Linked DNA regions of Xenopus tropicalis. The protein of the gene in region 1 binds, or shares a complex with, the protein of each later gene. Links are inferred from orthologs where the notes say so. Each region holds a gene or a part of one and is shown in the gene's direction. Other genes may lie near its edges. The genes, in order: prkg1 and cnn1.

Region 1 (4,413 bases):
AAGGATATTAGCAGTCACTGAGGGGTTCTGTGCCCATATAAAGGCACAAGGCTGCAGGCTGAGTTATACAGGGAACTCTGAGTATCACTCATGTATTATAAGGGATAATGTACCCCCTACTGTAAATGATAAGGATATTAGCAGTCACTGAGGGGTTCTGTGCCCATATAAAGGCACAAGGCTGCAGGCTGAGTTATACAGGGAACTCTGAGTATCACTCATGTATTATAAGGGATAATGTACCCCCTACTGTAAATGATAAGGATATTAGAAATCACTGAGGGGTTCTGTGCCCATATAAAGGCACAAGGCTGCAGGCTGAGTTATACAGGGAACTCTGAGTATCACTCATGTATTATAAGGGATAATGTACCCCCTACTGTAAATGATAAGGATATTAGCAGTCACTGAGGGGTTCTGTGCCCCCCATATAAAGGCACAAGGCTGCAGGCTGAGTTATACAGGGAACTCTGAGTATCACTCATGTATTATAAGGGATAATGTACCCCCTACTGTAAATGATAAGGATATTAGCAGTCACTGAGGGGTTCTGTGCCCATATAAAGGCACAAGGCTGCAGGCTGAGTTATACAGGGAACTCTGAGTATCACTCATGTATTATAAGGGATAATGTACCCCCTACTGTAAATGATAAGGATATTAGCAGTCACTGAGGGGTTCTGTGCCCATATAAAGGCACAAGGCTGCAGGCTGAGTTATACAGGGAACTCTGAGTATCACTCATGTATTATAAGGGATAATGTACCCCCTACTGTAAATGATAAGGATATTAGAAGTCACCAAGGACTCACTGGACAATTGAGGGAAGTACCTTTACAATATCACAAAAAGTGGATGCTTTATTATTTCCATACACAACTGTCAGTGAGCCATAGACACTGTATAAATATGTGGAACCCCCACACATGTTTCAGGGGCTCCTCCAAAACTTCCTCTGATAAAAGTCCTTTTTAGACAGGACACCCCCTACTTTCTTCCCTCATTTAAAATGACAGTCCCCTTTCCCTTTTGCCCCTGACCAACTCAGCCCAAAAGCTTTGGGGCAATTGTAGTCTGCGACTGCCACTACTCTAATTATAAAGCGTGTGGCTTCTGGACCCTACTAATAATGAATCCTTTCCTGCTGGCTCCCTGCCTTGCTGCTGCTCATGTGCTTCTCTCTGTGTTACTAAGAATAATACAGTTGTGAGCAGCAGAGCAAGTGAGTGCCATGGTTAATAGGGTGCCTAGGTAACAGCAGCAGTCTAGGAAAGGGGTGAGAGGAGGCAGTGATGGGGTTAACAGGACCCCTGCAGCAGAGAGCAGACAGTGTGAGGGGCTGCAGATGATCAGCCCCAGCTCAGAGTACAAGGAGGAGCCCCTCTCTGCCCATGTTTATGTCTCTCCCCCTTTGCTTCCCCTTGCAATCCTGCAGCCAAGACTCCTCTGAAAGAGGGGAGGGGATTTTTTTTTTTGCCTTTTGCAGAGACCATGCATGCTAATGTTCCTCCCTGCCTCGGCTTCTGATTGCCGCTGCCTCTGTCGCACGTTGTAGCAGCCACACGCAACAGCTGAGCTTGGTGGACTCTCCAGGAGAAGACTTGTGTGGCCGAAACAGGAGCAAGAAGACTTCCAGGAACAGAGGAACGGACCTGTGGATTGGTTACAAGTGGGCTGCAATACAAACAGGGTCTTGGGGTTTATTTTTGGGCAGTGGGAGCAGTTTCTCATTGGATCTGGATGGTGAAAGCTTTAGCGCAAAGTTCGCCTTTATTTATGATGTCATGGCTTAAGGAGACCCTTTGTCCTGGATCATTCATTTGGGAGAACCCTAAAAGTTATCCGGGGTTGGGGAGCAACAACTGAGAGTAGAACCCACCCAGGTGTGGGGAGCAAAGTTGGATCTGACCAGCAGCCTCCCTTGGTTGGAGCGGAGACGCGTCTCCAAGACCAGGAGAAGTTGGACCTTCATTGCGCAAAGGAGCGCTTTGGGAGCGACCGAGAGGTTGTGGTGGTTCCTTCGGGCTGGGGGCTTGGAAGTGGCCGAGAAGACGACGAAAGGAGAAGGAAAGGCAGCCGTGGCCCCTGCCGGGAACATGGGCACTCTGAGGGACTTGCAGTACGCTCTGCAGGAGAAGATAGAGGAGCTCAGGCAGAGGGATGCGCTCATAGACGAACTGGAGCTGGAGTTGGATCAGAAGGATGAGCTGATCCAGAGGCTCCAGAACGAACTGGATAAGTACCGATCTGTCATCAAACCGGCCACCCAACAGGTTCACAAACAGAACCCCACCACTTTGGGGGAGCAGAGGACCAAGAGACAGGCTATTTCTGCAGAGCCAACTGCCATTGACATCCAAGAGCTGAGCCATGTCACTCTTCCCTTCTACCCCAAGAGCCCACAGTAAGCTGCAGCCTTGTGTAATTGTCCTATCCCTGTCTTTTTAACCCAATCTGTTGTTTTTATTTTTATTTTTTCTATTTTGTCTTTGTCCATCCACTTGTGTATTTTATATACAGACAGTCTCCTCCTGTACCTTCTGCTTTCCATTCTGTCCTCATCTTCTGAAATAATGTGTAACTAACACCTCTGTCTGCATCCATCTGTCTTGTGCCATGTCAAGGTATGTAAATATATATATACATATAAATATACAGTGTATATAGAGCTTGCTGTTGGTTTGCTGCCATTGCTGAAAGTAAAGTGGATTGTATTTATGTCTTGGGGGGTCAGTATAATTCTATATAGGGGGCAATTGCTGTACAATGTATGTGTAAAGGCATGGGGGAATTAGAATGATGTTCTGCAGATCTGCAAAGTGGTGGGGATGGGGGTTATTACAAAAAAAATGTCCTGCAATGTAGTGTTCCCTTTAAAATAAAGAGTCAGTCTACTTGCCCCCCTTGTTATTGAAATCCACCACTATGTATCTGTAGCCCCTAGGTGTTACTATCAGCCAGAGCACAGCCACCAGTATGGTAATGTCATAAAAGTTTCTACCAGGTCTAGTAACCCCTAGCGACCAGAATGGAAGAACCATTTCTCTGGTCGCCAGGTTGAAAGGGAAAAGCTTAACGGTTGCTATGGGTTACTAGACCTGGTGCAAGCATTCGAGTCCTGCCTGGTAGAACTTACCATGGAACTTTGCTGCCTGAGTAACTTGTGATTGGCTCTTCCAGCTGTTGAATGTCTTTATTCCGAAGCTTGGTCGGGGCAGAGAGGGGAATATATCCCCGACCATCACAGGTGTTGCACAGAGGATTCTGGGAGTTGTAGTTTGCAGGTTTGCCCTCTCTTGTTGGTTATACCCCCTCCCCCAAGGCTCCCTTTTCCCAGCACCCCACCATGGGGGATAGTGGGAGTTGTAGTTCTACCCATACCGGCTGCAGAGTTGCTGATCCCTGTGGGTATGATGGGAATCCAGCTCTCTCTCAGTAAAGCCATACATCTGTTTCACGCTGGGAACACGGATTCGGCGGCGCTTCTAGTTGCCTCCCGCTGGGAGTGTTTATGACAATGGCATTCAGGGCAATAGACGGATGGCACAGTCTCCTGGTCACGCACACAGCTCCTCGGGCAGCCGCCACTTGTATCTGTAAGTGTACGTACAGGTGCCAGCCATACTTTTTATTCATACCATGGACTCAGGAAATTGAAAATCCTTTCAGCAGAAGCTGGGGGTCTTGGCGCTTACAGGCTCCAATATAGAATCCTAGGGGGCTTCTACGATCAGTCTATGTTAACCTGGGCTTAATACTTACATTTATTGTGAAATTCTAGACTATAAACTGCAACGTGGTTGCTATAGACACTGACCTCAGCCTGGTTGCTATAGATGCTGACCTCAGCAACTGAGGAGCCTGAGTAAACAGGACCAAGATCATGTCGGAAAAAAGATCTGTAAGATTGGCAACCAAACCAGCCAAACCTGTATGTTTGACCTTTTTTTAGATGACACTGTCTGCAAAATATTTAGCTTTTAGGTATAGTTTCCCTTTAATCTGCTATGTTACAGGAGATACCCTGGTCCCAATGCCTGCCATTCACACACTATCTGTTTATAAGATCTTAAAGTGACAGAAACCTGAATGTCTGAGAAGCAGGTAGAACAAGAGGGAATAGCACCATACAACAGCAACAGAGGTTCTGCCCCAAGAGCTTACAATCTATATGTGAGAAGGGAAACTTACACCGATAACATTGTTGAGCAAATGCTCTGGGTGACAAAGGTTTAATCGTTCTTTTACTACTGACTTCAAACTATTGACTCCAATTCTGTATTTTATAGAACTTTTGGTTTAACCCTTTGGCTCCTTAACTAATTAGCCACTCCCCCTTCCTCCCAAGGCTTATGCTTCTCTGCTTATAATATGCAGCTGTTGGACCAGAGGAATGTTCTCTCTGGGGGGCTC
Region 2 (3,602 bases), on another chromosome or scaffold:
AGGCAGATAAGCTGCCCAATCGGTCTTAAGGGCCCAAATCAACAGCTGAAATCTGTGTATGGCCACCTTGTAGCCTAGGGAGGCAACCATTTGTTCTGATAAATCTGCTCATCTAGTGAACTTTGCACTATTTGGGTCATACACTGGGTCATATCAGGGCATATGAGTTCCATATGGAGAGAATCAAATCTACATTCAGATACAGTCCTCGTCAAAAACGATTTCCAAAATTGTTGTATAGACATCTGGTCTTTTTTTGGGCCAGATATGTTGGGCAGGCTGAGCAGCAGACTCCATACAGCAGCCAATAAGCTGCCAACTCAGCCTGTAGGGAGCTGGCAGCTTTTATCAGTCCATTTATGGTGAGCTGCACACATGTTGGCGAGCACAGAGGCAGGCAAACGTCTTCGTCTTGCTTTATAGAGGCACCAGAAATGCAGAAACTTCTGCCATCCGCTGGAAGACACAGGGAGCAGGTACCAGAGAATGGCACCCACGTCTATGGGAGGATTGAAGGGCAATTGTGGTGCCTCCATTACTGTCTAATGTCCTGAACTTCCAGTATTATAAATTCCATCCTTTTCTACTAGCGATTTGTGGCTAATGAACATGGACAATAAAGTGTCCAGTGGATCCTTAATAGTTGTCTCCTCTGATTCCAGTTGGCGCAGAAGTATGATGTACAGAAGGAGGCGGAGCTCAGAGAGTGGATAGAGGGCCTGACGGGAAGAACCATTGGGAAAGGCTTCATGGATTCTCTGAAAGATGGAATCATCCTGTGCGAGTAAGTTGGGGGGGCTAGCCAATAGGAAAGCTCGGTTTAATTCCCATGGCAGTTGCTAGCAAACAAAACAGGTTAATTTCACTGTGCCTTCAAGACCAAAACTACAAGCTTTGCGACATGGTTGGACGTCATGATAATATTATGGGATATAGATGGGGCAAAAATACTGCATTTGTTTCTGATTAGGCTAATCACTTCCTAGGTACAGAGTGGCACTAAGTTACCTTCCCTCAGGACATGCCCACCTACAGAACATCCCTCCTCCTATAGGAGGCCGTACACAGGTTGATTTGGTACGCTCTCCATTTATCCAATCAGACAGGGCCACACACGGCATGACTGCCTTTCTATTGTTACTATAGCTGGTGCAGTAGCTGATTTCACTGGCCATACATAGATCCTCTACAGAAGCCAAGATCCCACAGATTGCCCACCACCAAAGTGGTTTGACCAGTGGGTCAAATACAGTCAACATCCATGAAACATTTTGGTCCACAGAATACAAGGTTTCTTATCTCCAAATCCTTTCTCCAATATTGGCCAGGAGGTACGCGGTCACGTCCCAAAGGTTGGCACTGTACTGTGTGCTTTAAGCTTGAGAAATATAGGCCCGAAGGCTCAACAGGCAGATCATTGGCCACTTTGGTAACACCAATTATAACATGAGTTGTTTGGAACCATACCCATTAGGTAATACAGGTATATAGGTTCTCCTGGGAGTTAGACAACAAATAGAGGACTGCAGGTTTCCGTAGTGAATTCAATGTGGGGGCAAAACTGTTTCTATATTGTAATGGGGGGCAACTTAGCCTCACCTTCTCTGTCTCATTTCTCCAGGCTTATCAACAAACTCCAGCCTGGCACCGTTCGGAAGATCAACGAGGCGACCCAGAACTGGCACAAGGTGACCAGCAAATGGTTTTTCCTCACGGGACTGAGCAGCTCCGGGGAAAATGTTTTGAAATAATTATTAATTACCAATCTCTGTAACCTTCTAGTTGGAAAACATCGGAAATTTTATCAAAGGCATCACACAATACGGAGTGAAACCCCATGATATATTTGAGGCAAACGATCTCTTTGAGAACACCAACCTAACCCAAGTTCAATACACCCTGCTGGCATTAGCCAGTGTGGTAAGTATGTTGTGCCAGGCAACACTCTATCCAGGGCCGCCATTGGGGGGGGGGGAGAGGGGGAACAATTGTGCCGGGCCCCGTGAAATCTTCCAGGTGACACGAAAGTTATGTAAATTGTATAATTTACACTAAAACTTACACATAATTTACGTAACTTCCGCAAAAACTGCCTAGAAACTTAAGTAACTTGTGTATCAAGCTAAAGACAATGCAGAGAAGCTTTGCAGGGACAAACTCCACTGACCCCCAATGAATGAAAAACTTAAGGTAAATCCCACTGCCCCCAATGAACTGACTGACTGATTAGTTCATTATTAATTTTAACTATTTTTATCAACTGCTTATTATAGAGAAACATCAGCTGTTTATATTAGGAGATATTTACTGAATGATATCAGCATTTTCTACATTAAATTTCCAGCAGGAGAATAACTGGCTATTGGGCCCCACAACAACATCATTGGGCCCCTGCACTTACGCAATTTACTTAACTTTACTTTCTAAGAAACTTAAATAACTTATGTATAAACTCCACTGATCCCAATGAAAATACTGACTTATTAGCACATGAATCATGTTTACTATATTTATATACTACTACTGACTAGTTATTGGGCCCCACAGCAAAATCTTAACTTACTCAGTTTACGTAACTTGTGCAAACACTTACGTAACTTCCATATCAAAGCAACGAAAGCGCAGAGCAGAGGCAGGTAGGTGGGAAGGGGTTAATCTCAGGGCTAACTCCACTGCCCCCAATAAACTAAATGACTTATTAGCACATTAATCAGTGGAACTCTTCATATGAACGGCTTGTTATAGAGTAACATCAGCTGTTTATATTGCACACACAAGGGACATGGCCAAAATTTTGGTACTACGCACTTGTGTCCAATGGGGGCCCCAAAGTTTCTGAGGAGGCCCTGGCACTTGCGCACTTGGGCATGGCACCTACCCACCTTTCCAACACTGTGTATGTTTCAGGCCAAGACAAAAGGTGCCACAGTGGATATTGGAGTGAAATACGCTGACCGTCAGGAAAGGAAATACGACCTTGACAAACTCAAGGAGGGACGGAATATTATTGGGCTCCAGGTAAGTGGGCAAAACCACTACTGAACCCAACAGCGGCTTGTTGGTCACGTGACATTGTGCTGAAAATGTTTCTGCTCTTTATTGGCAGATGGGAACTAACAAGTATGCCAGCCAGAAAGGGATGACATCGTATGGTACTCGTAGGCACCTCTATGATCCCAAGCTGGCTAATGACCAACCACTTGACCAGGCAACAATCAGCCTGCAAATGGGCACCAATAAAGGAGCTTCCCAGGTGAGTAGATAGGAGCAGGGATTGACAACATCAGGCCATTAAACATTATACTGACAGACTGAGATCTCGGGGCATGTTTGGCATTTGTTACCACAAGATGTGGTTCTATTTCCCATCGTTTCCTGGACCCAATTCCAATAGCAGCTCTAATAGAGAATCAGCCGAAGAGAAGTGACGGGGAAGTGATCTTTGAGAAAATATGGAGAAGTAAGAAAGAATGAACTTAGTGGGGAATTACTAAATATAGTGGTAGTTAGGCAAAAAGGAGATGGTAAAACCAAGATGGCCGATGTCCGAAGGTGAATCATAGTAAAGTGGCCATAGACAGGCCAATAATCTGGTCCTTCTG

What was found.
Region 2: prkg1 (region 1) and cnn1 share a complex: the UniProt entries of both Homo sapiens proteins name them as parts of the cGMP kinase signaling complex. The link is inferred for Xenopus tropicalis from reciprocal best matches to the Homo sapiens genes PRKG1 and CNN1.

The regions. Positions count from the first base shown.
Region 1 is NC_030683.2:13,398,455-13,402,867, forward strand, and holds the start of prkg1 (cGMP-dependent protein kinase 1), read left to right. Parts: upstream 1-1,485; 5' UTR 1,486-2,096; coding exon 2,097-2,404; intron 2,405-4,413. UniProt on the Homo sapiens protein: Serine/threonine protein kinase that acts as a key mediator of the nitric oxide (NO)/cGMP signaling pathway. GMP binding activates PRKG1, which phosphorylates serines and threonines on many cellular proteins.
Region 2 is NC_030679.2:139,382,137-139,385,738, forward strand, and holds part of cnn1 (calponin-1), read left to right. Parts: intron 1-385; exon of another isoform or gene 386-434; coding exon of another isoform or gene 435-476; intron 477-662; coding exon 663-784; intron 785-1,621; coding exon 1,622-1,688; intron 1,689-1,782; coding exon 1,783-1,920; intron 1,921-2,907; coding exon 2,908-3,018; intron 3,019-3,106; coding exon 3,107-3,253; intron 3,254-3,602. UniProt on the Homo sapiens protein: Thin filament-associated protein that is implicated in the regulation and modulation of smooth muscle contraction. It is capable of binding to actin, calmodulin and tropomyosin. The interaction of calponin with actin inhibits the actomyosin Mg-ATPase activity.